Canis lupus familiaris: one gene and its partners. The main gene of each other region encodes a partner of the protein of the gene in region 5 in a complex. Links are inferred from orthologs where the notes say so. Each region holds a gene or a part of one and is shown on either strand. Other genes may lie near its edges.

Evidence for each region.
Region 1: TXNL4A (region 5) and USP39 share a complex: the UniProt entries of both Homo sapiens proteins name them as parts of the U4/U6-U5 tri-snRNP complex. The link is inferred for Canis lupus familiaris from reciprocal best matches to the Homo sapiens genes TXNL4A and USP39.
Region 2: TXNL4A (region 5) and LSM6 share a complex: the UniProt entries of both Homo sapiens proteins name them as parts of the precatalytic spliceosome. The link is inferred for Canis lupus familiaris from reciprocal best matches to the Homo sapiens genes TXNL4A and LSM6.
Region 3: TXNL4A (region 5) and LSM5 share a complex: the UniProt entries of both Homo sapiens proteins name them as parts of the precatalytic spliceosome. The link is inferred for Canis lupus familiaris from reciprocal best matches to the Homo sapiens genes TXNL4A and LSM5.
Region 4: TXNL4A (region 5) and SNRPD1 share a complex: the UniProt entries of both Homo sapiens proteins name them as parts of the U4/U6-U5 tri-snRNP complex. The link is inferred for Canis lupus familiaris from reciprocal best matches to the Homo sapiens genes TXNL4A and SNRPD1.
Region 6: TXNL4A (region 5) and LSM7 share a complex: the UniProt entries of both Homo sapiens proteins name them as parts of the precatalytic spliceosome. The link is inferred for Canis lupus familiaris from reciprocal best matches to the Homo sapiens genes TXNL4A and LSM7.
Region 7: TXNL4A (region 5) and LSM4 share a complex: the UniProt entries of both Homo sapiens proteins name them as parts of the precatalytic spliceosome. The link is inferred for Canis lupus familiaris from reciprocal best matches to the Homo sapiens genes TXNL4A and LSM4.

The regions. Positions count from the first base shown.
Region 1 is NC_049238.1:39,787,387-39,790,886, forward strand, and holds part of USP39 (U4/U6.U5 tri-snRNP-associated protein 2), read right to left. Parts: intron 2,964-3,500; coding exon 2,828-2,963; intron 325-2,827; coding exon 238-324; intron 1-237.
Region 2 is NC_049236.1:44,949,712-44,953,945, forward strand, and holds the start of LSM6 (U6 snRNA-associated Sm-like protein LSm6), read left to right. Parts: upstream 1-1,434; 5' UTR 1,435-1,593; intron 1,594-2,802; exon of another isoform or gene 2,803-2,907; intron 2,908-4,234. UniProt on the Homo sapiens protein: Plays a role in pre-mRNA splicing as component of the U4/U6-U5 tri-snRNP complex that is involved in spliceosome assembly, and as component of the precatalytic spliceosome (spliceosome B complex).
Region 3 is NC_049235.1:44,955,705-44,959,714, forward strand, and holds the start of LSM5 (U6 snRNA-associated Sm-like protein LSm5), read right to left. Parts: upstream 2,801-4,010; 5' UTR 2,689-2,800; coding exon 2,643-2,688; intron 1,557-2,642; coding exon 1,461-1,556; intron 1,176-1,460; coding exon 1,148-1,175; intron 472-1,147; coding exon 399-471; intron 1-398. UniProt on the Homo sapiens protein: Plays a role in pre-mRNA splicing as component of the U4/U6-U5 tri-snRNP complex that is involved in spliceosome assembly, and as component of the precatalytic spliceosome (spliceosome B complex).
Region 4 is NC_049228.1:66,473,027-66,477,274, reverse strand, and holds the start of SNRPD1 (small nuclear ribonucleoprotein Sm D1), read left to right. Parts: upstream 1-1,448; 5' UTR 1,449-1,565; coding exon 1,566-1,579; intron 1,580-4,248. UniProt on the Homo sapiens protein: Plays a role in pre-mRNA splicing as a core component of the spliceosomal U1, U2, U4 and U5 small nuclear ribonucleoproteins (snRNPs), the building blocks of the spliceosome.
Region 5 is NC_049222.1:688,219-692,515, reverse strand, and holds the start of TXNL4A (thioredoxin-like protein 4A), read right to left. Parts: upstream 2,801-4,297; 5' UTR 2,689-2,800; intron 2,331-2,688; exon of another isoform or gene 2,322-2,330; 5' UTR 2,288-2,321; coding exon 2,135-2,287; intron 234-2,134; exon of another isoform or gene 164-233; intron 1-163. UniProt on the Homo sapiens protein: Plays a role in pre-mRNA splicing as component of the U5 snRNP and U4/U6-U5 tri-snRNP complexes that are involved in spliceosome assembly, and as component of the precatalytic spliceosome (spliceosome B complex).
Region 6 is NC_049241.1:57,200,108-57,204,323, forward strand, and holds the start of LSM7 (U6 snRNA-associated Sm-like protein LSm7), read left to right. Parts: upstream 1-1,416; 5' UTR 1,417-1,426; coding exon 1,427-1,432; intron 1,433-1,515; coding exon 1,516-1,606; intron 1,607-4,216. Other genes in the region: SPPL2B (signal peptide peptidase-like 2B), read right to left, coding at 1,211-1,270. UniProt on the Homo sapiens protein: Plays a role in pre-mRNA splicing as component of the U4/U6-U5 tri-snRNP complex that is involved in spliceosome assembly, and as component of the precatalytic spliceosome (spliceosome B complex).
Region 7 is NC_049241.1:45,126,311-45,129,841, reverse strand, and holds the end of LSM4 (U6 snRNA-associated Sm-like protein LSm4), read right to left. Parts: intron 3,054-3,531; coding exon 2,870-3,053; intron 1,110-2,869; coding exon 1,018-1,109; 3' UTR 501-1,017; downstream 1-500. UniProt on the Homo sapiens protein: Plays a role in pre-mRNA splicing as component of the U4/U6-U5 tri-snRNP complex that is involved in spliceosome assembly, and as component of the precatalytic spliceosome (spliceosome B complex).

The DNA of each region.
Region 1 (3,500 bases), on a different chromosome or scaffold from region 5:
CATCCACAAATCTTCCACGCTTCCCTGCCCTTCTCTTTTCTAACAATCACTCCTAGGTTCACAGGGCTATATAATCTGGCCTCCTCTTGCCAGATGCACTCCTCAGTGCATCCCAACAGGTACCCAGCCTAACCAAGGCTTTAACTCAATATCACGTCTTGCCTTCACTCACATCATTCCTCTCACTGGCCCCACACCCTATCTGTTCAGCACATAGCAAGTTCGTGGCCAACGCACCTGAATATAAGCCTCCGAGAGCGTGATCATCTGGGGAAGGATGTCAGTCACCTGCAAGTCTTGTAATTCATACCATTTGCCCGTCCCCTGCAAAAAGTATTAAGGGATAGGTTAGTCTCCTCCCTAAAACCAAAAGGTACAGAAGGAAAGGACTGCAGAAAAAAAGTGAGAAAAATCGGAATAGCCACTAGACCATCTCTCAGCAAGAATCATAATTAAGAGGGTGCATGACTTCTGCTTGGCATCATTCAATTTAAAGAGCTTTTGGAGTGCTGATCTTGGCAAACTCAACCCCTGCCGAGGATTCCTTGAAGTATAATGGAGTCTCCCAACACTTTTAAGAATTTAGGTAAGAGGTAGCCCTCTACTCCTCATCTAAGATAACTCCTTGCTGTTCAAAAATGACAGACTAGGGATGCCTGCATCTGCCTTCGGCTCCAGGCGTGATCCTGGGGTCCAGGGATTGAGTCCCACATCAGGCTCCCTGTGAGGAGCCTGCTTCTTTCTCCCTCTGCCTATGTCTCTACCTCTCTCTGTGTCTCTCATGAATAGATAAATGAAATCTTAAAAAAAAAAAAAAAAAAAAACAGACAGACTACACACACTGAGCAGGTGCAGTGTTAACTACTGGGAAAGCCTAAAAGTAGACATCCCCACACCCCATCCCAGAGAACACAGCAAGAGCCAAGAAAAGTGTCCTTCATGGACACAGTTCAAAATACTAACCTGTTTCCTTTGGTCCATAAAATCAGTGCTGCAAATACAGCAAACCTACCTTACTTCATGCTGCCATACATAAGGGAGAAAAAGAGGCTTCTGGATTATGGCAGAGGCACTGCTGGAAGCTCACCTGCCTCATCCATCCAAACTTCAAAGAAATGCCAAAGACAGATACTACAGACTACAGATATCCCAGATAGTCCAAGAGTTCAGAATATAGGAAACATAAGAAATGCTCAGGATCACACAATCAAGCCCCTATTCCTGTATTGAGGACTGGTTAAGAACCTGGTGAAACCAAGGGCGCCTGGGTGGCTCAATCAGTGAAGTGGCCAACTCTTGATTTTGGCTCAGGTCATGATCTCAGGGTCCTGGGATCAAGCCCCATATTAGGCTCCACACTCATCAGGGAGCCTGCTTGAGGATTCTCTCTCTCCTCCCTCTGCCCTACTCCTGCTCACACATGCACTCTCCCTCTTTCTCTCTCTATAAAATAAATAAATAAATGTTAAAGGAAAAAAAAATAAGTATCAGGGTTCAAATCCCAAATCTACCAACTTCAGGTAAATTACTCAAACTCTGAAGCTAGGTTTCCTTGGTTGATTTAAAAAAAAAAAAAAGGTACTGGGGCCCCTGGGTGGCTCAATCAGTTCAATGTCCAACTCTTGATTTGGCTCAGGTCATGATCTTGTCCTGAGATTAGGTCCTGCATCGGGCTCCCTCTGCAGGGAGTCTGCTGGAGATTCTTTCTCCCTCTCCCTCCATCCCTCCCCTGACTTGTGGTTTTCTCTCCTGCTCTCAATTTTTAAAAAAAGGAAAAAAAAAGGTATTAATGCCTGTCTTAGAGGTTGTGTTAAAGATATAAGTCAGGGGCCCCTGGGTGTCACAGTCAGTTAATTATCCGACTCTTGGTTTCCACTCAGTTCATGTTCTCAGGGCTATGCAATCCAAACACAATCCAGCCCCATATGGGGCTCTGCACTTAGCACAGAGCCTGCTTAAGGGGCTCTGCACTTAGCACAGAGCCTGCTTAAGATTCTCTCTGCACTCCTCTCCCTCTCAAATAATACATTATTAAACACTCATACTTTCTAGCACACAGTAAAATCTTTGATAAACAGAGCTACTTATTTTCCCCCTATTCCCAGAAGGCTAATCAAACTAAAACAATCTATGCTAATCATCCATGTGATACCAAACATATCTTAAGTACATGTTTCATCCATTTTTAGCTTGAGACAAATTCAAAACAGTTTTTTTAGCTGAAAGAAACCTTTAAACCAGTGCTTCATAGACTATAATTACATACCAGAGAGTCTTGTCAAAATGCAGATTCTGACTCCGTAGGTTTGCATGGGGCCTAAGATTCTGCATTTCTAGCAAGTTCTCATATGGTGTCAGTGCTACCAGTTCAAGGATTCCACTTCAGAGGGTAAGGCTCTAGTCTAGGATAGTGGTGCTCAACCTTGGCTGCACAATGGGATCTCATGGATAATTTTAACACCATGACGCCTGGTTCCCACCTCCACATAATCTAATACAGTCTCTTAACTCTGACATTTCGAGCCAGATAATTCTTTGTTATGGGGGCTTCCTGTGCACTACAGCATATTTAGCAACAGCCCTGGCCTCTATTCCAGGTGAAAAAACAATTTGTTCTAATATAACTGGCTTTGAATGTCCCAGGCATCAATCAGGATTTTAAAATCTCCCCAGGTGAGTCCAACATGCAGCCACAACTGAGACCCACTGCCTGGAACTAACCACTGACAGCTCTATTAGTTGCAGAACACCAAGGCCAAGACAGGGCGAGGTAAAGAGAGCAGGCCACTGAAATGCCAAAGGAACAGCCACCATTTTTGCCACTCACGTGATGAAGCACGTGGATCCGGTAGGAGCCCTCCGAGGGCTTGCCGTCGTGTACAATGTTGGCAATGAGGTCATAGGTAGTATTCTTGTGCACTGCTTGTACTTCTTCAGACAAGTATTCTCTCAGATCCACATTTCTAGTGATGATGAAAATAAATCCAAGTATCAGACAAAGGCTATGGAGGTCAGGGAAACTGTCCTCCATCAACGGACTAGAGAGCTACTGACCCCTACTTTAGGGCCCTGGATCTAGGTATACTTGCAGAACCATGAAATCCAGCTTGCTGGAAATTCACATACTTTGCCACAAAAATGAGTCAAACGAGCAAGATGGGCTCTACGGGGAAAGCACACTGTAAAAGCAGGCCTCGCCATCAAAACTGCACAGCCTCGTGTCATTCACATTAGAATTGGAATGAGGGCTCTGCTACTTCAGAGGTATGTAGGCATTTGAGCAGGTTGAGCCTAAAGCTCTTCTCAGATATGAAAAGGAGCGGCCCCATCTCCTCGGAGATGGTGAGGGTTAAGGGAGACCACAGGAGTAACACATCACCCCCCTGCTCTCTCTGGGAATCCCACAGGTGCAGTGTTCCGTTGACAGCCTCTGGCTAGGGAAGGCCTGACCACATGATTCTGCGAGTCACCACTGTAGAGAATCATTTTAACAATTTCAC
Region 2 (4,234 bases), on a different chromosome or scaffold from region 5:
TGGGAAAAAAATGCTAAAGAAAAACTTGTGAAACATGGAATGTTGCCTTGTGAATCACTGAAAGCCAATTATAAGCTGCTGAGGGGGATTCTGGGCACAACTACATTTTGATAATTGTAGTTTATCAATGGTGCCTGCTGCACTGGTCCAGCGGGGCCCTCAGAGATCCATGCCTCTTGGAAGAGGTAGCAACTATGCCTGCAGATGAACCATGCCCTTAAAACTTCTCATTGCCTCCTGCCTACCACACCCGTCTTAATGACTCCACCAGGGCTCTATAGCAATGAGAAAAAGGCTATGAATCAAAAAATTATTTTTTATGAATCACTGAAACAACCACTGAGGAATATAGTACAATTTGAGGTCTTTTGTGAGGAAGGCTTTTTAGGGACAGGGTTTTCTTTATATCTGATTATGTTTGTTCTTTGCAGCTAATTATTTTATTTAAATGATACTTAATTTTTTTCACATTATATCTTATACCGCAAGAGCTTCAAATAAAGCCTTTTCAAGAAATCTGTAATGCTTGGTTTTTACCCAAAGTGAGCTTTTATGGAAGGATATAAGGAAATCTCTTTTCACCACCAAATCACACCCAGTTGTTCTCTGGCCGTCATATCAATCAAAGATTCTTTCTTCAGCTAAGACAGGTTTACGAGAGGGGAAACTCATGTAGATCTTAGGGAAAAAACCCTGCATCTTAGATCTGTAACACTTAAGAGTTAAGAATCTGTCCAAAGATATTATTTCTTTGTTTAGAGTGTTGCAAATCACAAGCAGAATTAAAGTATAGGTTTTAAGTTGAGGGTATGTGTGTGAGGAGAAAAAGGAATCAAGTGTTGGTATAACACTTTACTTCTTTTTCTTCGCCCTTTCCACTAATAGCAAGAATATTGAGAATCCATGCAGAATTCCAAACCAAGTTCCCATAGCAGCACTTAAATAATGTCTGCATACCATTTCCAATTAGAACTAGATTGTAATGTAACGCAAGTCATACCATTATAATACGGAGCTACTTTAGGGATTTTAATTCTTTTTGTGGCAATTACGTTGCCATGGAAACAATCTCTTGCTAATAATGACTTCATCGCACGATCAAAATCCAAAGTGGATTTAAAGATTTGAGGATGCCTGCTTTATTTATTTGCATTAACTTTTTCAAGGACCTTTCCGAGCCTGTATAGTCATGACCCTAGTAGTCAATTCCAGTTTAGTAGGACTTCAAGCTATTTCTTGCATCTCTGCCTAAAGGAAATCCTGCCTAAAAGATCACTTCCAGGCTTTGTTTTGTTTTAAGTATTTTAAGGGGTGTTTGCTTTCTGCTAAGAGGTAGCAGCAGCGGCTCTTTCTCCTCTGACCGCCAAAGCCCCAACTTTGCCTTCGGGCCAAACGAGACTCCCGGCTCGGCGCGCGCCGCCGAAGCGCGGCCTTCTTGGGCCCCGCAGGCTGCCGTAGCCCGGAAGGGCGCTCCCCGGCGGCCGCAGAGGCGCGCCGCCCGCTCCGGCAGTTTCACTTTCGGTTTCGCCCGGGCTTCGGCGGAGGCCGCAGCTGCGCGCCACCTGGAGCGGGGGTTTGGGTCCCGGCCGCCAGGTGAGCCGGGCGGCCGCGCGGGCGGCGGGGGCCCCGGTGTTCGCTGGCCCGGGGTGGGTGCGGGGAGCGGCAGCCGGGAGGCGGGCCGCGCGGACCCCAGGGGCCCGGCCCAGAGCCCCCCGGAGGGGCGATGGACCCCGCGGGCGCCCGCCGCAGCCTCCCCGCGCCGCCGACTCGCCTTCCGGGACCGGGACCGGGGCTGCTGGCGGGGTCCTCGCCGGCGGGTGGGCGGGAGAGCGGGCCGCGGGGCCCCGTGGGCCGCGCCGGGTTCCGAGGGCTCCGGGGCCGCCGCGGCCACCTTACCGGGGCCTGGGGCCTCGGGCCGCGGGCGCCCGCAGGGTACGGCGTCGAGTCCTGGCGCCGGGGCTGCCGCGGATGAGCGCGCGCGGCCGGAGCAGGGGATGGGGCCTTAGGGTGCCCCCCCCCCCCCCCAATGCCGCAGAGACACAGGCTGTGGAGATCCTGGACTCAGAAGCGCTTAGCGAAGGAAGCCCTATTCACTGAACCCCTTCCATCTTTACTCTTGCACGTGCCACTTCCTGTTTGAGCTACGACTACCTGTGCCCTCCGTTAACAGTACAGAGAGTTGTCCGCTTTCATTGAAAAGTGCCTCTTAAATGTTATTTCTGGTTTTGCGCCTTTTGGTGGGCTACCTGTTCTGTCCTTGTGTAGGTCCCGTAAATTATTCAGCCATTTCCCGACTGTGAGGCATTTAGGGTGTTTGCGAATTTTTGTTTCATCCTAGCATCCCAGGTAGTACTTTGATAAACGTTATTTTTAAAACTGCATTTCGGATGATTCACTTGGATTGATTCTGAGCAAGGACATTTTTACAATAGGTGCTGTGCCCCAGTAAGGTCTCTTCAGATCTACATACCCCTTGCCAAATTGTTTTCCAGGAGAGTTTTAGCAGTTTGCATTTCATGTAAGGTTGTGCCTGTTTTCACCAAAAGTATGATAGCTCATAATATGTATTTCTAACACGTCACCCTCACTTTTTTTTTTTTTTTTTTTTTTTTTATGGTGGTGTTTCATAATGCCAATTGCTTGAATTTTGTGCAGGAGTCTAGAGAATTATCTTGGGTTTGTGTGTGTGTGTGTGTGTGTGTGTGTGTGTAAAAGTATTACTGGAGTTCCTGCATAGGCTGACAATGTTAGAGCAGGATGATCTCTTAAGTGGTCATCCAGCATAACTCCCTTATTTTGCAGATGAGGAACCTGGGGCCTTGAGAGGTGAAATGATGAGTTCTCCAAGGTATACAGCTACATTAAGTAGCAGAACTGGGATTAGAATTCAGGTTTCCCATCTCCCAAGTGAGTACTCCTTATGCTGCATTGGGTGGTCTCTCACTAAACTGTGGCATACTTGTATGAGCATTTTTAAAAATCTTGGCATCACTTGAATTATTTTGTCCTGTTAGAAATAACAGAGATTTTAGTCATCTGAGGGAAGTGTAACACTTGGGAAATTGACCATTTTCAGGACTGGGACTAAGAAATCCATTACTTAAAATGGCAACCCTTCAAGATTTTTTTTTTTAAAGATTTTATTTATTCATTCATGAGAGAGAGAGAGAGGCAGAGGGAGAAGCAGGCTCCATGCAGGGAGCCTGATGCGGGACTCGATCCCAGGACTCCAGGATCACGCCCTGGACCAAAGGCAGGCGCCAAACCGCTGAGCCACCCAAGGATTTCCCCCCCTTCAAGATTTCTTGACAGTTGTTTTTAGATTCCCTTTATGTCAGGATAAAGTATCTAAAAAGTTAGAATTTAAAAAAAAATTAAAAGTTAGAATTTGTACTCGATCATCTGATTAGAATTGAGCTGTTTGTTCTCATTTGTTATACCTTGAAAGTTTTTTAAAACTCCTTGTTGCTTGAATACTAGAGAACAATGGTTTTTTGATAAAGGGTTTATAACAGAGTTTTTCAACCTCAGTTGACATTTTGGGCCGGATAATCCTTTGCTGTGGAGCACTGTCCTGTGCTTTTTAGAATGTTAAGCAACATCCTTGGCCTCTATGTCCTAGCACCACCCTCCTCATTCAAGACAGTCCAGAATGTCTCCAGATGTCCGCATTTGCTTACAGGAATCATTTGGGAAGCTTTATAAAATGTCAGTTACGGTGTCCCCTTGCCTGGGGAGTCTGACTAGGAGTAGTAGACTTCAGGAATCTGCATTTTAACAAGCATCTCTGTTGACTCGGATGCAGCTGGTTCTTGTACAACACAGAAACATTTCTATTTTCTTTGTCTTTTATTTGGTGGTCAGTAGCAGAGATATGACTGTGGTATAGCCATTTAAGTGCACAGATGATGCAGTGCTAGTCACTATACCCATAGTTTGCGGGTAGGGGTGAAAGGGACAGGGATTTTCCTTGGCACTGTCCTCAAATGTCTCCCACAGGATTGATTGGCCGGTGAGCTTAGGTTCCTTTTCCCCTGTCTCTGAGAAGCTTAGAACCTACTGTGGGAGACTGATCAACAGGAAAACTGCAGAACAGCCTGCTAAATGGGAAGGGGTGCTCTCTGAGTGCTGGATTCATGGCTGGAGTGAGAGAGGGGAGGAAAGTGGCCCTCTCCTGGATGGGGAGGAGGAATTGGTATGAATCCTTCAGAAGAGGGCTAGGTACCCCCTCTGT
Region 3 (4,010 bases), on a different chromosome or scaffold from region 5:
AGAAGGAAAAAGAGCTTATTAATACCACCACCACACCCATCATCTAAAAACCCCTTTTCACCCATCAAAGATACCTGGCCTCTTTGCTCCTCCCCCACATTCCCATTTTCTCCAGGTCATTGCTTCTGTTTATAATCCCAACATCGTCAATTAATACTTAGAGTCTAAACAATGATTCTTGGCAAACCAAAAGATTAAAAAGCCCAAGCAAACTAATCTTTAAGCCTATTGTCATGTTCAGTAGCTCAGCTTTAGAGCCCTGATCACAGGAGCATCTCATTCCCAACTTAAACCCACTGGGCCATGAACATTTATTTAACCAAGCCAAGTAATCTGTAATCTCTGCCTCACAAAAATGGGCTACATCTAAAAAAACGCCCAGCTTTACTGTACCTTACCATTGTTATATTATTTCCATTTAGCAAAATTTGATCTAATTTAGTGATCCTTCTTCCTTCTGGTGTGATTTCACTAAATGAAGAAATAAAAGAGTCAAGATAAACAATGATAATCAAAGCCAACATTCTGATCCCTAAAAAAGTTATTCTTATATTATATGAATATGAGGTTGAGCAATTATGTCAGTAGTTTTCAGAGACAAAGGTTATCCACTGGATGACCAAAGGCAACACAGTGAACTGACTGGCCTCAGATCCACATCCACTAGGATCAAAACTAAAAGAAGCTAAAACTGGCCAAAGAGATCAAATATGAAATGGAATGTTTACTAGCCTCACCTTTTTACTATTATTTACTACTAATCCCTTACCCATTAAACCAATCTGTAATCAACTCAATTTTGAAAGCAGACACTGGTTGTGATCTTTAAAACTAATATAATGGAGCTATCATTTATATCTTAAGTTTAATGCCTTGATTTGTCTGAGCACAAACATCCTTGGCTGTTTTTAGTATCTTTTATCTCAAAGCTCAGTCTCCACTAAGTCCCTACCAGTCATTAATAATAACATAATAATTACATCCGGTAATAACTGATCCAATTTTACCAGTGTCAGTAGATAAAATTTCTATCTTTAAGGTATTTCTGACAGGCAATGTTTTCTCATTAATCATTTTAAACTCATTAATACTAAAATTGACTTAAGGAGAGATTCCCCCCAATTCTTTAATTTTTAACACTACTCACAACTCAGTGACATCCTCCAGTACCATATCTGAAATTTGGTGTTAAGAAAAATACATATACCAGGTTGAATTTACTCTGGCTTCTATCTTTACTCCATTTTAATTACAACGTTTAATACAATGGCTCCAGAGCAAAATACTAGTAATCGGTAGGAACTTTATCTTTTTTCAGTACACACACCTCTTAAAACGCTATCAAGAGGTGAATAAATTTCTAATACAATAACCAGTTACGTACTGACTGTCCATATTCTTATTTCTGTTCTTAAGTACTGCAGGAAAACCCATACCACCACCACCTTTTGAAAGGATACTGACAAAGTCATCAAATCCCAAAAGTGTGCCAACAATTTCTTTATCACTCTTCATCACAATGTGAATTCTTGATCCTATACATTTGTCCACGAGCTCTATATATATATATATATATTTTTTTTTTTTAAAGAAAAAAAAAGAGGGGTGGGGGGGTGGAGAAAAAAAGATTATTTTACCTGTTCATTTCTTCAACAAATATTGGAATGCCTACTGGCACTTGTTAGTTACTTACTGTGAAAGATAAACCAGAGAAAGTATTCATTCAAAAACTTTAGAGATTTTACGGTACGTTATCTCTGTTGCATAAACAAAAACGTCCTGTTTACCACTTACCTCTCCTTTGTTGAAGTTTATCCATCACGGTTGTGGTTTAATGTTATTTTAAGTGATTTTGATTAACATACGAAATGCATAATTAATATATAATTAACATCTGAGCCCCCCCCACCCCCTGCAGCCCAGGTGGTTCAGCGGTTTAGCGCCTGCCTGCAGCCCAGGGCGTGATCCTGGGGTCCTAGGATCGAGTCCTGCATCGGGCTCCCTGCATGGAGGCTGCTTCTCCACCTCTCTGGGTGTCTCTCATGAATGAATAAAAATGTTTGTTTGATGTTTTTTTTTAAGAGTCTAAGCCCCATGAAACAACTGTGGTTGTTTTCCCAGGACTCTATCCTCAGTGGGCAATGTCTGGCACATAGCAAGCGTTCAAAAAGAGTTGGTGGAATCAAAGAATGAAAACTTCCAAAACAAGGCCACTTCCGATAACTCCATCAACTCTTTGGCTACAAAATATCGGAAGAGGCACAACCGTATCCACCAGAGATTTCTTCCTGTCACTATCTCTGTGTTCGGACCGCAGTTTGAACGCCTCGTTAGCTGGCTTCGTTATCACTCGGCGTGATGCTTACAGGTGGAGCGCTCTATCTCCTCCTGGTGTGTGTGCTATCCGCAGGCAGTGGGAGGCGTCTGAATTTGTCCAAGAGCGCCCAGCCCTCGTGCCTAGTGCAGAGAGGCTCCCGGGCGGCCCGGGGCCGCAGACACTCGGGAGCCGGCAGACGAGCCGCGGAGCACTGAGGCCCTTCATCCCCACATTTCCCTAACACTCGACCAAGGGCTACTTCAGCCGCAGCCGCCCGGGCCCCAACACTTAGCCTGAGCCCTCCGGTCCCCTTCTCCGCGATTACCTAGAGGCAGCAGCTGCGACGGGTTAGTGGTAGCGTTGGCCGCCATGGCTACGCCGGAAGTGGCCCGCCGGCCTCGCCGTCAGCCCGGCAAGTTTGAAAGAGCGCGCTTCCGCTCCCCCCGCCGGCCCGCGGCCCGGACAGGCTCGACCAATCGGAGGCCGAACTTGCGATCCAATCAGTCCGCAGGAGTCGCTCCTTCCCAATCGCTTCTTTCCCGGGCGCTGAGCTCTCGGGGAGAAGGTTCCGTCCGCTGCAGGTGGTGCGGTCTGGGCACGTAGCGGCTTTCCCCGGGCAGTTTCCGACAGACAGACGCTAAAGGGATCCTGCTTTGTGAATAAATCCTTCCTGCAACCCGGAAGGTTTTGCAAAATACGGAAATCTTTGAATCGTCTTATTTTCTGCTATGAAGTTGCACCTCATCTCAAGCCAGGATCTTTTTTCAGACCGAACCAAAAATTTTTTTTTTTTTTTTTTTTTTTGCCACTAATGCACTGTGTTGCAGTTTTTGTAAAAGCCGTTTTTCAAAGCATCTACTCCTAGAGCGCCCATGTGCCTCAGTGGGTTAAGCCTCAGACTAGATCTCAGCTCAGGTCTTGATCTCAGGATCCGCTGGTTGGGCTCCACGTTGGGTGCGGAGCCTATTTAAAGAAGAGAGAAAAAAGAATCTAGTGCTTCTTTTTAAAGTCCAGTGAATTGAAAACCCACAACCAGCATTTAAAAAGAAAAAAAACCTTCTACAGTGGAAATTTAAAACACATTTTATTTTTATGCCTACTACCTTATCATTCTTACCTTGTTGTAGCTAGGAGTCCAATTTATCACAGACTGTATCCACTTTCAACACTTAACTGTCTTGTCTTATAAGCAGCCACCAGATGTCACTGTCCGCTAATGTCATCACACAGGAAACCTTAAGGCTTTTTGTTTTTTTTTTGTTTTGTTTTGTTTTTTTAAATTTTTATTTATTTATGACAGTCACAGAGAGAGAGAGAGAAGCAGAGACACAGGCAGAGGGAGAAGCAGGCTCCATGCACCGGGAGCCCGACGTGGGATTCGATCCCGGGTATCCAGGATCACGCCCTGGGCCAAAGGCAGGCGCCAAACCGCTGCGCCACCCAGGGATCCCAGGCTTTTTGCACTTCTGTTTTGCAAAGAATAGAAAGCAAACAAATTCTCTGCCTTAAGTCTGTTTCATATTTGTATCCCAGGAACGTAAGGCTGACGAGTCTAAACAGGAGAGAGCAGAAAAAAACATCATTCATTCATACAACAGATAGTTGTAATACACACATCATTCATTCATGGAACAAATATGCATTAGCTACACACTATTTGGCATTTTGCTGAGTATAAAACTGTACAAAACAG
Region 4 (4,248 bases), on a different chromosome or scaffold from region 5:
GGAGATAACTGAAGGAGTGAAATTCTTTTTTTTTTTTTTTTTTTTAGATTTATTTATTTATTCATAGAGATGCAGAGGAAGAGAGAGAGGCAGAGACACAGGCAGAGGGAGAAGCAGGCTCCATGCAGGGAGCCCGACGTGGGACTCAATCCCGGGTCTCCAGGATCGCGCCCTGGGCTGCAGGCGGCGCTAAACCGCTGCGCCACCGGGGCTGCCCAGAAGGAGTGAAATTCTTGAGAAAAATGAAAGATGGGAGCCAGACTACAATGAAGAGGAACTTGCCTTGGAAAGGGGCAATGATACATCTACCTTTCTAACTGGAAGAAAGTTCTAAAAGGATGGCTTCCGGTCTTCTCGAAAGAGGAAATATTAGCAGAGAGTGATCTTAGGAAGACACTGTAAAAGGTTTCAGAGGGAGAGTACAGGGAAGGTATGAAATAGTTTGTGAGCTTATTAGAGACAAGAGCTCTCAACAATGTAGGTGCCATTCTGAGGTTTGTGACCAAATTTTTTTTAAGATGTTATTTATTTAGGGAATCCCTGGGTAGCTCAGCGGTTTAGCGCCTGCCTTCGGCCCAGGGTGTGATCCTGGAGACCCGGGATTGAGTCCCACGTCGGGCTCCCTGCATGGAGCCTGCTTCTCCCTCTGCCTGTGTCTCTGCCCCCCTCTCTCTCTCTGTTTCATAAATAAATAAAATCTTTAAAGAAAAAGATTTTAGGGATCCCTGGGTGGCGCAGCGGTTTGGCGCCTGCCTTTGGCCCAGGGCGCGATCCTGGAGACCCGGGATCGAATCCCACGTCGGGCTCCCGGTGCATGGAGCCTGCTTCTCCCTCTGCCTGTGTCTCTACCTCTGTCTCTATCTCTGTGTGACTATCATAAATAAATAAAAATTAAAAAAAAAAAGATTTCATTTATTTATTCATGAGAGATACACAGAGAGAGGCAGGGACACAGGCAGAGGGAGAAGCAGGCTCCATGCAGGGGAGCCTCATGCAAGACTCCATCCCAGGACCCTGGGATCACGACCTGAGCCAAAGGCAGACACTCAACCACTGAGCCACCCAGGTGCCCCTGTGACTAGAATTTAAAGTAAAAATAATAAGCTAAACTGTGTGATTTTCTTCAGGTACATTCCCGGTGTTGGAGCTGAATTCGCATAATTTTTTGGGCTTTGTCAGAACTACATTTCCTTCGCGAGTGTATTTACTGCCCCGTAACACAGGACTCTGAGCCCGCGGCCCGCGGCCCGGCCTACTAATTGGATCTGAGCTCCCCAAATCCCCGCCCTTACTGGAATTTTCCTCCTGGACCGGCTCTCAAAGCGCTCAGCAGGCGCAAGGCACACCTCCAGCCGCCAGGGGCCGCCGTGAGGTTGGGCGCGGCCGGAAGGGAGTGCGGCTCCGGGGGCCTCGGCGCTTCCGCCTCGCGTTCTCAGCGTTCCTCGCGCCCTTTACGTCCGAGCCCGAGGAGTAGGCGTTTCCGGCCATTCATACTCCTAGTTTTTCGGGCCTTGGTAGTCCGGTTCTGTACATTAACGGGCTGAAAGAGCGACGGCGCCGCCAGGATGAAGCTCGTGAGGTGAGGGGGTAGCCCGGCGGGGTGGGGGCTGTGACGATTTGGGCGGCGAGCGGGAGGCCGCGCTGCCCCTTTGCGGGAGGCGGGAAAGCCGCGTGCGCGCGCGGCCTGCTAACGGCCTCCGGCGCCCGCCGCTCCCGCCCCAGCTTGGCCGCGCCGTCGCGGGCGCTGCCGCCGGGGCTTCAGACTCGTTGGCGCGCGGCCCCCGCGTGTCTTCAGGCTAGTGGACGTGAAGGCCTGGCCATTTCTTCCCCCCTAGTGTCTTAGAGGCCTGCAAGGCGGCGGCGCCAGGCTTACAGGCTTCTGTTTGCGGTTGGTAGAAGACGTTCGTTCCCTTAGAACTCGTACTCTAGTCTAGATGATTTTTCTGGCCGGTCTCAGCCCTCAGGACCCGCAAAGACGACTAAATATACGCTCCCGGAGAACGTGGGAGACCTAAGGAAAATTGTACGCGTTGCATTAAGTTAACGAGCTTTTATTTATTTATTTTTTTTTTAAAGATTTATTTATTTATTCATTAGAGACACACACAGAGAGGCAGAGGGAGAGGCAGGCTCCATGCAGGGAGCCCGACGTGGGACTCGATCCTGGGTCCCGGGATCACGACCTGAGCCAAAGGCAGCTGCCCAGCCGCTGAGCCACCCAGACGTCCCGTTAAGCAGCTTTTAGAATGTACTTAGAAGCTGCAGGGGTTCATCAGGAAATGACGAAACCCATTTCCGAAATGTTTTAAATCAGGATTGGACTTCTGGTTTTTTGGTCTTTCCTTTTCCTTTTCCCTTTCCCTTTTCCCATTTCTTTTCTTTTCTTTTCTTTTCGACTCCTTACAGTTAAGATTACCCAACTCCCATTTCCCTTCAAAATAGGACTTTAGGGATCCCTGGGTGGCTCAGCGGTTTAGCGCCACTTTCGGCCCAGGGAATGATCCTGGAGACCCAGGATCGAGTCCTACGTCGGGCTCCCAGCATGGAGCCTGCTTCTCCCTCTGCCTGTGTCTATGCCTTTCTCTCTCCCTGTGTCTCTCATGAATGAATGAATGAATGAATAAATAAATAAATAAATAAATAAATAAATAAATAAAATCTTTAAAATAAAAAAAAAGAAAACAAAATAGGACTTTAATTCAGGAAGAATCTCCCAACGTCTGGCAGAGTCACTTTACGTATTTGTGGCTGATTAGCAGATGATCACTATTCTCTTGTGTTTAAACTTCATTGGTTAGTTGAGCCTATTGGTTTATGATTTGAGTAATTCATTCTAAACTATCTGCAGATAAGGTTTTGGTGTTTTTCCTTGAGGCAGGGAGCCTGGAACATAGAGGAGATTTCTGATTAAATTAGTTATAAATGTAGCTAGTCTTTTGTCTGAATCAAGATTAGTCTTATTGCGATCAATCAATTATTGGGCACCTATTACACTAGGCACAGGCAGTGGATTTTGTTTTTTTAAGGTGTTCTTTGAACTATTTTGCGAAGACAGACAAATAGACAATTTCTAGTGTGAATGAAATAACGTATAAAACCCTCAATATGTATTCGGAGTTCTTAAGGAAGGCATTTAAGGTTAATTTTTAGTCGAACTGTAACTTTGGAGAAAAACACCCCAGAATTTAAAGTATATTTTCACAATTTCTCAATCCCTACCTATTTGAATCTACTTATAGTTTTGTGTCACACTCTTTAGAATCCGTTTATCTCATTTAAAGAAACTGCATGTTGTGACACAATTTTCCTGAAAATTTTAAAGGCTGTACTGAACCCTATTCTTTGTTTAGACTGTAGAAATAAAATTTCTTCTTACTGGTGAATATGTTTTGTTCCAAGAAAATGAGTATTTGTCTAACTGCTTTGCATTTTTGGTTGACTTATTTCTGTACAGTGGTTGATGGCACTATCATCCTTACTGCCACTCTAACCAAAAACCTGGGAGTTTACTTTGACATCTTTCTTAATAATCTCATAAAATTGCCAGGTTTTCACAGTTTTTACCTACCTCATAGAAGTATCTCTCATTATCCAATTTTCTTTAAAAAAATTTTTTTTGTTTATTTATTCTTGAGAGACAGAGAGAGAGGCAGAGAAACAGGCTTCATGCAGAGAGCCTGATGCCAGACTCGATCCCTGTTCTCCAGGATCACGCCCCAGGCTGAAGGCAGGCACTAAACCGCGGAGCCACCCAGGGATCCCCAACATTATCCAGTTTTCTTTGGTTTTTGAATTCAGTTAGTGTGGATTTGGATCCTGAAGGATACTATGCAAGCGGTATGTTTTTGGGTGCTATGAAGGATATTATCTGGATATTTAAGTTTCAGTAAGAACGAATTCAAAGGGAAGGATTCATCGGAAAGAATTCAAATCTGTTTGATTTCTGAGCTGGGATAACTCTTTTCTGCCAAGATACCTTTGCTGTCATTCATTCCAGTGGCACCACTGAGTCATAAAAGCTTTCTTTTATTTCCACCCAAGGTTTTTAATTTTACTTCTTGAGGTGACTATCTCATGCAATGAAATACAATGTACATTTGCCAGTTTTGAAAAATTTACACATCTGTATAACCCAAACCCCTGTTGAGATGTGGAATATGGAACATTACCGAAACCTCAAGCCCTTCCTAGTCAGTCTCTGTTCTCATACCCCCAGTGCAATCAATTTCTTCTATCGTAGTTTAGTTT
Region 5 (4,297 bases):
TCATTAAGCTTACCTCCCATGTTTTCAGGGCAGCTCAAAACTAATACAGCATGAGGTGGTGGCCTCATGATGGTTGGCACCATCAAAGCATCAAGTCAACACACCACATTCCCGGAGAAACAATCTAATCAAGTCCAGCCTAAACGGTGGAACTTTTACTCACTTTAAAACAGCTGGGGTATCCAAACAGGGCTCGAGACAGGATGAGGAAGATCCCCCACTATCTGCCATTTCTGCAGAGGGAGATTTTTAGATAGTTAAGTTGTTCTTTATACTAAAACTTTAAATTTCAAAAATTCCTGTTGAGCTCAAGAAGGACTTCCAGAATTATAAACTCATGTTTTGCCTTTACACAGAAGAAAATAAAACAATTATCTTGTGATGAGTTTCAAGTTTGCATTTCTAATAACTGTACTATATAATATTAAAAGTTTATTAAAACAGAAATCCAAATTTTTGGACCAAAGAAAAAGTACCTTAAAGATAAAACAAAGACAAATACTCAAAGTGAGCCCAACTAAACTGTTCTTATCAGTAGGTTCGATCCCAGAGTGCGTTCCTCAGTGATCCCGCAGTCCAGCCTACAGCTGACACACAGGGATGGGAAAAGAACAAACAACTTGCTGAAAGTCCCTAAGAGCTCAGGTTAACACAAAATCTGTCTCCCAAAGAAGAGCGTCTTGCTGGGTTTTGCCTGGGTATGAAGAGCCAAAGGAGCCTCCCGTCTCTAACCATCCTGACCCTGCACCGAGGGCAGCAGGAGCTGGTCACCACCTGGTGTTTATGCCCCCACATGCCCCGCACAATTCAGAACACACACCCTACGTTATTTCAAGGTCAACAGAGCAGCAATGGTGTTTCTCAGGAAAGTGCTTGGAGGTGGTTCTTCACTGACCACAGCAGTGTCTGCTTTTGACGCGACAAACTGGCGCCGCAGCTCTCCCGAGCTCCCCAGGCACCTCCTCAGGCTCCCCAAGAAGAGAAAGGGAACGGCCAGTCTCCCAGCACCCTTACTCTGATCCCGAACTCTGCCAAGTGGTTTTTGGAAGCCACTTCAGAATTCCCAGGGCAGCTTTTGGGCAGAGCTGTGTGTGGACCTCACCCCAGACCTGCAGAACGAGAACCTCGGAGGTGCACCTGAGCAAGTCTTCCAAGCGATCCTCACGTGACTGACCGGAAAGACGGCCTCCACAGTTCCACGGTTCCCAGTGCTACCACCCGGCCTCGCTTGGCTTCTCCCGCCACACAGGAGATCAGAAAAAGTAGCAGTGGAAGGTCAGATAGTTGTTAGTGAACTAACCTCAATGTGGGGTCCTGCTCTGACCCCCGAGACTTCGCCTTTCCCAGACACATCTGTCCCTACACCTGTTACCATGTACTGAGCTATCTTAAGCCCTTCTTCCTCTGAAAGAAATCATGGCTTTAATGTTTCCATTACTCTTGACCTCTCCTTATTTACGGAATATCAGTAAGTAATCTATGAATTGGCTACAACTACACATCCAAATGAAAGTTCTCCTGAAATGAGCCCACAGAGCCCACAGGAGAGCACCAGGTGCTGCTGGTTCTGGAACTGCCAACAGAGCCTCCGACAAGCCAGGGTGCCAGCATGGTGACCCAGACTGGGTCCAACCAGGCAAGTCTCCCAGAGCACGTCTGAGCTAGGAGTGCACTTAGGGCACAAAGACCGGGATGGAGAACAGGCTTTCCTTCCCCTGACAGGCACGACTGCCTCCCACACACAGGGAGCAAAGCACCAAAAACTGGCAATCCTGTGCAGCTACCTGGCTAAAATGGCGTTCCACGAAGTCCCTAGGTGTGCTGCTCCCAGCTCCGTGGAGGTGGCACCATGAACCCCTTCAAAACCTGGAGACCAGGGACACACTGCTCCCACGGAAGGACCGTAGCCTCGGGGCACAGGGTCAGGCCCCCTGAGCCCGCCGCACCCTACCCTCTGAGGCCTGGAGCCTCCACGCGGGGGTCAGGCCCTTGGACCCTGCTGCGCCTCTGCAGCCTGGAGGAAGAGGAGGACCTGCACGCGGTCACCTCACTCCAACCCTGCAGCCACCTAGCAAACGGGGCAAACCAAAGACCACAGCTTCCTAGGCTGACGCTGGGCGGGGGGCTGTGTTACCTTCTCCGCGATGCTGTACAGCACCTCGTCCATCTTCATACACGTGGGGTCCCAGTCGTGTCCAAAGCGGATGACGACCACGCGGTCCTCCTCCGACAGGATGGCCTGATCCACCTGCCAGCCGTTGTGCAGGTGTGGGAGCATGTACGACATCTCGGGGCGGCTCCGGGTACACCTGCGGGCACACCTGCGGGAACTGTGCGCACCGGCTCCTTGCGGCCGACTGCGGGCAAGGGCTGCACGTCGCACCCGCCCGCGCCCCTGGGTCCCACAGCAGACCTCACCCCCCCGACCCCTGGAAGAGGGACGGCACTGAGGGGACGCCCTGCAGACCCAGTCCCCGGTGCGGAGGCCCCGGGGTCGCCCCCATCCGTGCCCCTCGGTCCCGCCGCGGGGAGGGCCTGGGACCCCCGCAGACCTTGCCCCCGGCCCCCGGCCCCGGCCCCGGCCCCTGTCAAGCTCTACCCCTGGAAGGAGAACGGGGCCGCGAGGACGCCCCGCAGACGCCAGCCCCTGCCTCCCTCGCCCCCGCTCCCCGCTCCGTCCGCCCGCACCTCAGCCGACCGCAGCCTCCCGCGCGGCAGCCCTTCCCGGCGGGGACGCGAGCCGGTCGGTGCGTGCGCGTGGCCGCCGACGCGAGCGTGAGCGTGCGCGTGGCCGCCGACGCGAGCGTGAGCGTGAGCGTGCGCGTGGCCGCCCGACGTAAGCGTGAGCGTGCGCGTGCGCGTGCGCGTGGCCGCCCGACGTAAGCGTGAGCGTGCGCGTGCGCGTGCGCGTGCGCGTGGCCGCCGACGAGGGGCCGCGCGCGCCCGGCGCCGGGAGGGAGGGACACCGAGCCGGGGCTCCCGTGTGCGCCCGGGCGGTGCGGCCGGTGGCCCCCGGACCCCGCGGGGTCGGTCTCCTGAGGTGTCGCCGCGGTCACGGGGGGCCCGGCTTTGCCGCCTGATTCTCAGCCCCAGTCAGGCCCCTCGGAGCGACCCAGCTTCTCCGCGGCGCCCCCGTGCCCTGGGGGTGTGACGAGGGCAGCCGGCCGAGCGGAGCTGCGAGGTGCGGTTCGGGTCCCGGCGGGGAGCAGCGCTGGGAGCCGGGGGACGGGGCCGGCACACGGGACAGGCCGAGGACCGTGACGTGACGGGCTGGGGAAGGCCCGTCCTGCTCACCGCACAGCCGTCCCCGGGGCGGTCAGGGCAGACTAGGCCCCGCTGTGCGGTCGCCGCGTCAGCAGAAGACCAGCTAAGGTGTGGGTCACCGTGTGAAACACGCACGGCCCTTGTCGCCCGTCGCCCCGTCCGCCTCCGGGCGCGTCCTTTTTGTCAAGAAGCTGACGGAGGATCCCCCACGTCCTGTGGGGTCCTCGCGCTGCAGCCCCGGGGGGTCGTAGAAGCGCCACTGCGGTCTCCGTTGGGGCAGCTCCCGTCCTGCTGGGGGGAGGCCCGAGCGCGGTCGGCTGGTCGTCCCCACTCCCCGCGGTCCCTGAGCCCCGGCGACCGCGGACTCCCGCCCGCCTCCCTGCCCCCGCCTGCCCCGGGCAGTTCGTGCGAGCGGAGACCGACCGGGACATCGCCCGGGACTGCCTTCTCCAGGCCGCGCTGTCCGCGGGCGTCAGGATTCGGTCCTCGGTGCTGGTTACCACTTCATCATACGCATGTGTGCATTTTTTTATTTTTATTTTTTATACATTTATTTTTTGTTGGTGTTCAATTTGTCGACATCTAGAATAACACCCCGTGCCCGTCCCGTCAGGTGCCCCCTCAGGGCCCGTCACCCAGTGTGTGCATTTCATTTATCCATCGTCTGACATTTGGCTGTTTCCACTTTCTGGCCGTCGTGCATATGCTGCTGTGAACATCTGGATTTGTGTTTGTGTGGACTTAGGTTTTCGCTTCCCTAAGAGTATATGAGTGGAAAGCCGGGGTCACGCGATAACCGTGTTTAACATTTTATGGAATACGAACTGTTTTCAAGAATGGCTGCAGCTTTATTGTATTTATTCAAGAGAGCACGTGCATGCCCCCAAGTCGTAGGGTAGGGGAGCGGCGGAGGGGTGGGGCGGGGAGGCGGGGCAGGGGAAGCCGGCTTCCCACCGAGCAGGCCCTGCGGGGACTCCAAACCCCGGACCCAGAGACCGCGACCTGAGCTTAGCCAAAAGGCGGAAGGCGGACG
Region 6 (4,216 bases), on a different chromosome or scaffold from region 5:
GCAAACTGGGTCCGTCCCTCCACGGTGCTCCCGTTACCCTGCGTCCACTTCTCACTTTGCTCTCATTCAAAACGTCCCCGCCCTCAACTTGCCGAGAGAGTGCTGAGGAAGATGATGGAGCAGGGCCTGGCAAACAGCGGGGGACGGGGCCTCCCAGGGAGCCTCTCCGGAGGGGGGTGGGGGCAGGGAAGAACTAGGAAGGATGACCAGGGGCATTCCGGGGAAACGGGGAAGACCAGACGGAGGCGGAGCGCCTTCAGCAAACTAGGAACAGGAGGGGAAGCGTCCCAAGCCGCCCAACCACAGAGGCCTCCCACACGCGCTGGAAGCCGAGGGGCGGCTCTCATCTGGATGCAACCAGACCTGACACACTTTCAGAGACATCCCTCCTGCTGTGCCGCCCATGGACTGGGGGGTGTGTGAGACGCAAGTGGCCACCGGAGGCTACAGGAGAGAGATGGGGACCTGCGGCGGGCAGCTCAAGGTTAATGGGACACCACTCCCTGAGCTGCATCACCCAGGGAACCGGGGAGGGAGGACCTGCAAATACAAAGTGCGCTTAGGAGGATGTCCACCCCCCGGCTGGCAGCAGGCCCCCCGCTGGCCCGGAGACCTCTGACCCCAGCTGCCCGAGGAGGAGCACGCTGCAGCTGTCACCCCATGAGCATCACCGCCGAGTCCTCACTGACGTCTTCCTTTTGCAGATGAGCAACTGACGCCCGAAGCTGGGGCCTCCCTTGCCCAAGGTCACGCAACAGAACACGGGGCGGCGGTTGGACCCCACTCGGGACGCGGGCTCTCGGCCGCTCCCTGTGGGGAACCGGGGGCCACGCCGGACGGCTTACCGCAACCACGCGGGTGGGCGCTAACCTCGCGCGGAAGGGGAAACTGAGGCTGGGGGCCAGGCGGGGGGCGTCCCCGGCGGCGGCCGGGGGCCTCGGGACGGAGCAGGGCCTGGGGAGCCGGGGGGCCTCCCGGACTTCAGACCCAGGCGCAACTGGGCGACGCTGCGGCTGGGGAGGGCTCCGGGGGGGGCCGGCCCGCAAGGTCACGGCCCGGCTCCCGGCCCGCGGGCCACCGCGCGGGGGGCGAGCAGACCCGAGGCTGGCCCCCAGGCCAGGCCGGGCGGGGCTCCCGCGGGGCGCGGGGCCCGGGGCGGAGGGACCGGGCGCCGCAGCCGGCGGGGCCGGCGGGGCCGACGCAGCCTCACCTGGGTCGCGAGGAGCAGGAAGGCCGCCGCGAGCCGCGCCAGCGCCGCCGCCGCCGCCATGTCAGCCGGGTCGAGCCGCAGGCGTCGGCAGATGTTTCCCAGCAACGCCCCGGCGCGCCCCGCCGCGCCTGCGCCGTGTGCGCTCCGCGCCTGCGCACGGGGGCGGGGTCAAAGGGCGCGCGGCGGCGCCTGCGCAGAGCGGCGCGCGGCGGCAAGATGGCGGTGAGCGCGCGGCGGGGCCGGCTGGGCGGGCGGCGTGGGACCCGGCCGCGCTCTGCGCCTCACGCGCTCTGCTTCCCCCGCAGGACAAAGAGAAGAAGAAAAAAGAGAGCATCTTGGACTTGTCGAAGTACATCGACAAGACGATTCGGGTGAAGTTTCAGGGAGGCCGCGAAGGTGAGAGCCCCCCGCCGCCCGCCGCCCGCCCCGCCGCCCGCTCCCCGTCGACGGCTCCGGGAGGCGAGCAGGGTGGCGGATGCCCGGGCGCAGGCCGGAGCGCTTTGCTGGGAGGACTCGCGACGGCCTCCGTCCGACGCCGTGCACGCGGGGAAACTGAGGCACGGGAGGAGCTGCAGACACCCCGAAGCGGCCGAGGCGCAGGCGGGGTCCTCGCTCCGAGGCAGCCGCCCCCGCTGGTCCCCGCTGGTCACTGACCCCCGCCCCGGCTCCTTGGGCTCCGCACTCGTGACCCTGACGCCAGCCAGATTGTTCGGGGCTGTCGGGGCGCTGGGGGGAGGGGAGCAGCCAACCCCCGGATGCCGCCAGATGCCAGGACATGCCTTAGCTTGGGCACCCCAACCAGGCATCTCCCTTGCCGAGCCGCGGCCCGGTGTCAAGGATGGTCCAGAGGGGCCTGTTAAACACAGGTGGGCCCTCCTCTGGGCCGCCCGGTCCCTCCCGGGGAAGGGGCAGCCTTGCGGAGCTCTCAGCTGCCACCAGGCTGTGACGTGCACCCGCCTGCTGGGCTCTTACCAGGCTTAAAACACAAGGCTTCTCTGGGTGAATGAATTTCAAAGATCTCGGGAGCTTTCTCCCACTATTCACGAGCCAGGGAGCACCCCACCTAGGAGACGGCGCAGAGCCCCAGAGGGTTTCGTAGGCAGAGGGTGCAGGAGCAGACGCTGGATCGCTTCCGGCAGGGTCCCCCTCCTCTGGGGGATGCTGGGGGTTCTTTCAGGAAGACTAGCTCGGGAGGGCTGACCTGGAAGTTCCAGGCTGACTGGTGGAGATTGCATTCCTGGGAGAGCTGCAGGTGCGGCCAGGTTAGGTATGAGGCCGCGGTGGGGTGGCCGGGGCTTGGCACGAGTGACGCCGTTGGGAGTCTCTCTTTCTAACTCCAGGTTAACTCCACAGTCATTTTTCTGCTCTCAGCTCAGGATTCTTGTTCCAGGAAGCCTTCCCTGATCCTCCACCCTGGGCCCCACGCCTTTGGTGTCAGCTCCTGGTACCGTCTGTCACCGTTCCCCGCTTTACGCAGTAAACACGACACCGACCTCTGCATCTTTCCCCTGGAATAGTGAGGAGGGCAGGAGCTGGGCCCAGTGTTGCTGGTGCGTGTAGGCAGTGTGGCCTCTGGGGTCCTAGCACCAGGCAGCTGGAGTCAGAGCCACAGCTCTTTGGCGCACTGGCTGTGGGACTTCGGGCAGCTCACCCCGCCCCCCAGGGCTCCATTTCTTCACTCCCCCCACCTCACCGGGCGGTGGTGAGGATCACAGGGTTGGAGGCACCTTCGATGTGGTTTCTGACACAAGCAAGCACTTGAGCAACATTTCATTTCTTCAGCTGCCTCTTTGCTTTCGTTGTGTTTCATGAGACAGTGACCCAGATCCTTTCTCCCGGAGATGTGGACGATTGGGTAGCATCGGCGTGGTTAACAGCGCGGTGCCTGCAAGTCTAGGTAGCCAGCAGTGGTGAGAACTTGAACCCGAACAGATGTTTGCTCTGTCTGCGCCGTGCTGGCTCTGGGACCCGTGAAGGAGACACAGCTCTCGTTTCTCAGGGTGCTCATATGGGTTTTCTACGCTGTGTAGCAAGTTGCCACCACGTTAGCAGCTTACGCAACATGAATTTATTATCTTGTGGTGTTTGTCAGGAGGAGTCTGGGTGCCTTGGGCTCAGGGGCTCAGGTTGCACTAAAGGAGTGTCTCAGACGCCCTGTTGGTTGTGGGCAGGGTTTGGTCCCCTGCGAGGGTCCTACCCCTGTAGGACCAGGGTCCCCGAGCTCTGCTACAGGTGTCCTAGAGGCTGCCCGCCGGCCCTGGCCACAGCACTGTCCACAGCATGGCAGTTTGCTCCCTCAAGGCCAGTGGGAAGATCCCTCTCATGCTTTGAATTTTTTGACACAGTTCCTGTTCCCCTGAGCTCATCTGATTAGGTCAGGCCGGCCGAGCAGAATCTCTTTAGGTGAGCTGAGAGGGCACTGATTCTGGGACCGTAATCACACGTGCCCGTTCCTTCGTCTTTATCCTCCTGTAACCTAATGGCAGGAGTGGCATCCCGTCCTATTCACAGGTTCCCTCCCACACTTGAGGGGAGGGGTTCCACTGGGTGGTCACCGGGGTCAGCCCCATTTTAGAACTCTGCTCGTGCCCCACGGAGGAGGGCAGACCCGCAGGTGCGGCCACAGTGCCCGCTGCCCATAAGCTCGTCGGGGAAGTGTCCTCGGGACCTTTGTCTTGCGGGCGGAGGGGAGGTCAGTCGGGGAGAGAGGAAGGCACAGAGCCAGGCGATCTCGGTCACGGCTGGAGGCGTGAAGGCGCCCTGAGCCGGTGAAGCTGCTCACAGGAGCGCAGCAGGCCGGGTTGGGCCCCCACGCCGTGGTGCGCAGAGCTGTCGGTCCCGTCCAGCCCCGTACTCCCCGCAGACACTACAGCAGCGCGGTGGAGCGTGGTGGGGGCACCCCTGCTTCGCCAGCTGTGCCTGGGCCGGGAGGCCTGAAGGCCGGAGGGGCAGGGCTTTGGGGCGCGTCCCTCTGGCCGTGTAGGCGCCGCTCCTCTGCGCATGCGC
Region 7 (3,531 bases), on a different chromosome or scaffold from region 5:
CCTGCATGGGTGATCACACTGGCTCTTGCCTGGGACTTCCCCACTCTGCCTCCCTCCCCCATCAATTCTTTACAAAGGGGCAGGGATTACAGGGAAACATGGTGCAGGAGGGCCATTCCCACTGCCCAGATAACAGCCTCATCTTTCTTTCTTTAAGATTTTATTTATTAGAGAGAGAGAGAGATCACGAGCAGAGGAAGAAAGGCAGAGGGAGCAGGCTCCCTACCAATCCCAAGATCATAACCTGAGCCAGAAGCACACACTTAACCGATTGAGCCACCTAGAACCCCAGCCTCATCTTTGTTAAAATGACATCAAGGGACACGGAACCAGTGCCCTGTTGAAATACTTCCCCTTGGCGAGACAGGAAGCAACCCTCGAAAGGAAACTTCTCTTACAGGGCTGTGATTTCCTGAGGATACCACACTCTAGATGTGCCTAGTGGCTCAAAAGGAATTATGAATTGCAGTTTGTAGTTGTATTTGTTTTTATTTTTGTAACACAAACAGGGAGGGCAGAGGCAAAGGGGGCGGGGCCCAGCAATGTCCCAGGAACAGCTTCTGTGGTATATGTTCATACAGATTTGTTTTCAAAAGGCAATCCTGAGGTCCATGTTTCAGGAAACTCCCAAGGCTGTCAATCTCAGTGCAAACAGCTTAAAATAAAAACCTCCGGTCTGTTCACCACACGAGGATCCAACTCAAAATGCAAAACAAGCCTGTTTGGAAAGTGCCGCCCTTAAAACAAGAGCGAGGGCTTTAAAGACACATTAAACACAGAATCTTCCAGGAATCAAGTTGGCTGCAGCTTCACAAAACCAAAAACACTGAATAACATACCCAACTGTAGAACTGCTGGCTTTAAAAAAGGGGGGGTGGGTGACTTTATGTAAAAAGGATCACCTGCCTCTTCTCTTTGTTCTGAACACACTTGTGAACTGGAGAGTAGAAACACAGCCTCAGGGAGTGGCAGCAGATGCTTAGTAGTGGCTCAGTCTCTGGGGGACAGAGAGGCGGCTCACTGTTTGCCCGCCTGTCTGCCTGGCTTCTTTTCCGGCTGACCTCTGCCTGTGCCTGGGATCCCACCTCGGCCCCGGCCACCAAACACACCTGTGAGACAGAGGAGGGGGCTATAGCAAAAGTGGGTTTGGAAGCCCAGCTGAGAACATGGGGTGGTGTTCCAGAAAGTTCTCAATGTTGATAAGCAACAAGAGGATGCCAGGGTGGCTAAGTCAGCTCTAAGTCAACACTGGGGCTTGGGGTAGGCTTCCTGGGAGAAAGCCTGGGGCCAGCATAGGGGGCAGACACCAGAAGGACAAAGCCAGATGGTTTCCAGGAGGAGGGGAACAAGAGCCAGAAAAGGGGTAGGACTTAGCCCAGGGGGCAGGGCACAGGCCCCCAGCTGAGGACCCAAGCTTCCCCCTTTCTCCAGCACTGTCCACATCCACTAGCCAGGGAGAGAAACAATTAGGAGATTCTGTGTGTCCCGCCTAGGGGTGGGGACAGGGGAGCCCCCTGCCCTCTAACCTCTGCTAGCCAGTAATGGGGCTCTGCTTTTAAGATTTTTCACGTGGAGTCCAAGGTAGGAACTGTGTAGGAGGCTGAGTAGTCAGGAATGGAACACACCCCCACTTAGGGAGGACCAGGGCGGATGGGGACACAGAATGGTACACATGGTCCCCCTTCTACCACAAACATGCAGTGGGCCCTGTAGGGATGGAGACCCACCCTAACCTCACCTCCCATGGGGCAAGGCCAGCTTTACCACACAGGGTGAGATTTCCACCTGCTGCCGAGGGCCCCATGGTCTCTCTCTTCAGTGACCCAAGCAATCACCCCTCCCTTCCTCTCTGCTCCTCTAGGCAGTTCACTCAACAGTGGTGGCCCCTGGCACGAAGAGCCTGGCCCTCAGGTATGGAAAAGGCCCTGCTAGGCCTTGGCAACCTCCCCACCTGGAGCGCCCTCCTGACCTCCTCCCTCTGGCTCACCCCTGACTGTCACGGGAGCCTCATCTCAGGGCCGGGTCTTGTATCCTTCCTGGCCCTGCCTATGAGCCCCCACTGGGGAGCCTGGGCCTGGCATATGGAAGGCCCCTACAGATGGAAGAGACAAAGCCAGGGCCCTCCAAGAAGAGGAGGGGGTTTGGGGGGTTGGGAGGGTCTGCAGATGGCCTCTAGGCTCAGGCCCCAGCTGACTGCACAACAAACTGAAGTTTATGCCAGATTTATCATCTCAGTGGTGGTGGTGGGGGAGTTGAGTGAGGGGAGTCTATCAAAGAGGGATGAACTCAGGCTTGTGAAAAGGAGTGACAGCAGGCAAGGGGCTTCTGCCAGGCCCTAAGCCGGGATCCTCACCAGCAGCCTGGTGAGGCAGGAATTACCAGACTCTCTTTGCAGAGGGGAAATGAGCCAGGGAGGTGCCACACCATGCCCAGAGCTCCTGCCAGGAGACATAGGCAGGGATCAGATGAAGGCTCAAGCCCCAGGTGGGCACCACATTGGTCTGCTGGGCTGGACCCAGAGTTCAGGAGCACTGGGGATCACTGCTGGATGGAAGGGCCCAGGTGGGTGGGGGAATCAGCACTGTTCACCAGAACTATACCAGGCTTCCTCGGTGGGGGCTGTGGGGCCAGGGCAGGCAGCAAACAGCAGCATCAGCCACACCAGAGGAGCCCCATGAGTCATAACCCCAGCTCTATGTAGGGGGCTCAGAGCCAGGCCTGTGGCACCATGACAGCACCACCCAAGAATGTCAACACTGGGACAGGATGGCTGCCATGTGCTGCAGTCACCCTTCGGTGGCAAGGCCTGGGCAGACTCTGGCCTAGCCTGCTGGTGGGAGGGGATGGATGAGGGGAGAGAAAGGCCTACCTCGCCCAGCACCCCCCATGCCTCGGCCCTTCTGCTGCTTCTGCTGCTGCAGGCCACCGCGGCCACGGCCCTTGGCCACCACCTCCTCCTTGACCATGTCGATGATCTCATCAGGGATACGCAGGTACTTGATGGTGCTGCCACGGATGTAGCACTCGGGCATCCGCCAAAACTTGTCCCCATCCTGGGCGAGAAAAGGGTGAGTCTCAGATCTCAGTGGGTTTTGGTGGGGAGGAGGGGGGGTATCTGTGCAAGGTGTGTGCTGATGGCTAGGGCACATCTGTCCCCTCAGGCCCCGTTCCCATTTGGGCCACAGTCTGCACCTGCATCACCCCTGCAAAGTTCTCAGTCCTGGACTTCACATGCGGGTGGGAGAGCTGCCTTCCAGTGGACTCTTTCCAGACTCTTGGTATCCTTTTACACAGTAAAGGTCAGGGAGTCACAAAAGATAGCTTCCTCATTCTCAGCCTATCCTCCAGTGTGGGATGGGGTTTGTTACCTGCAGCCCAAGGGAGGTTTGTTACCTCCCTCCAAAGAAGGCCGGGGACCTACACACCAGGCACTGCCGCAGCCCAGCTCCTCCACCCTCCTGCCTCTAGCCTTTCAGAACCTACCTTCTGGAACCCTCTCTATGTGCCCTGACTCATTCATTCATCCACTTA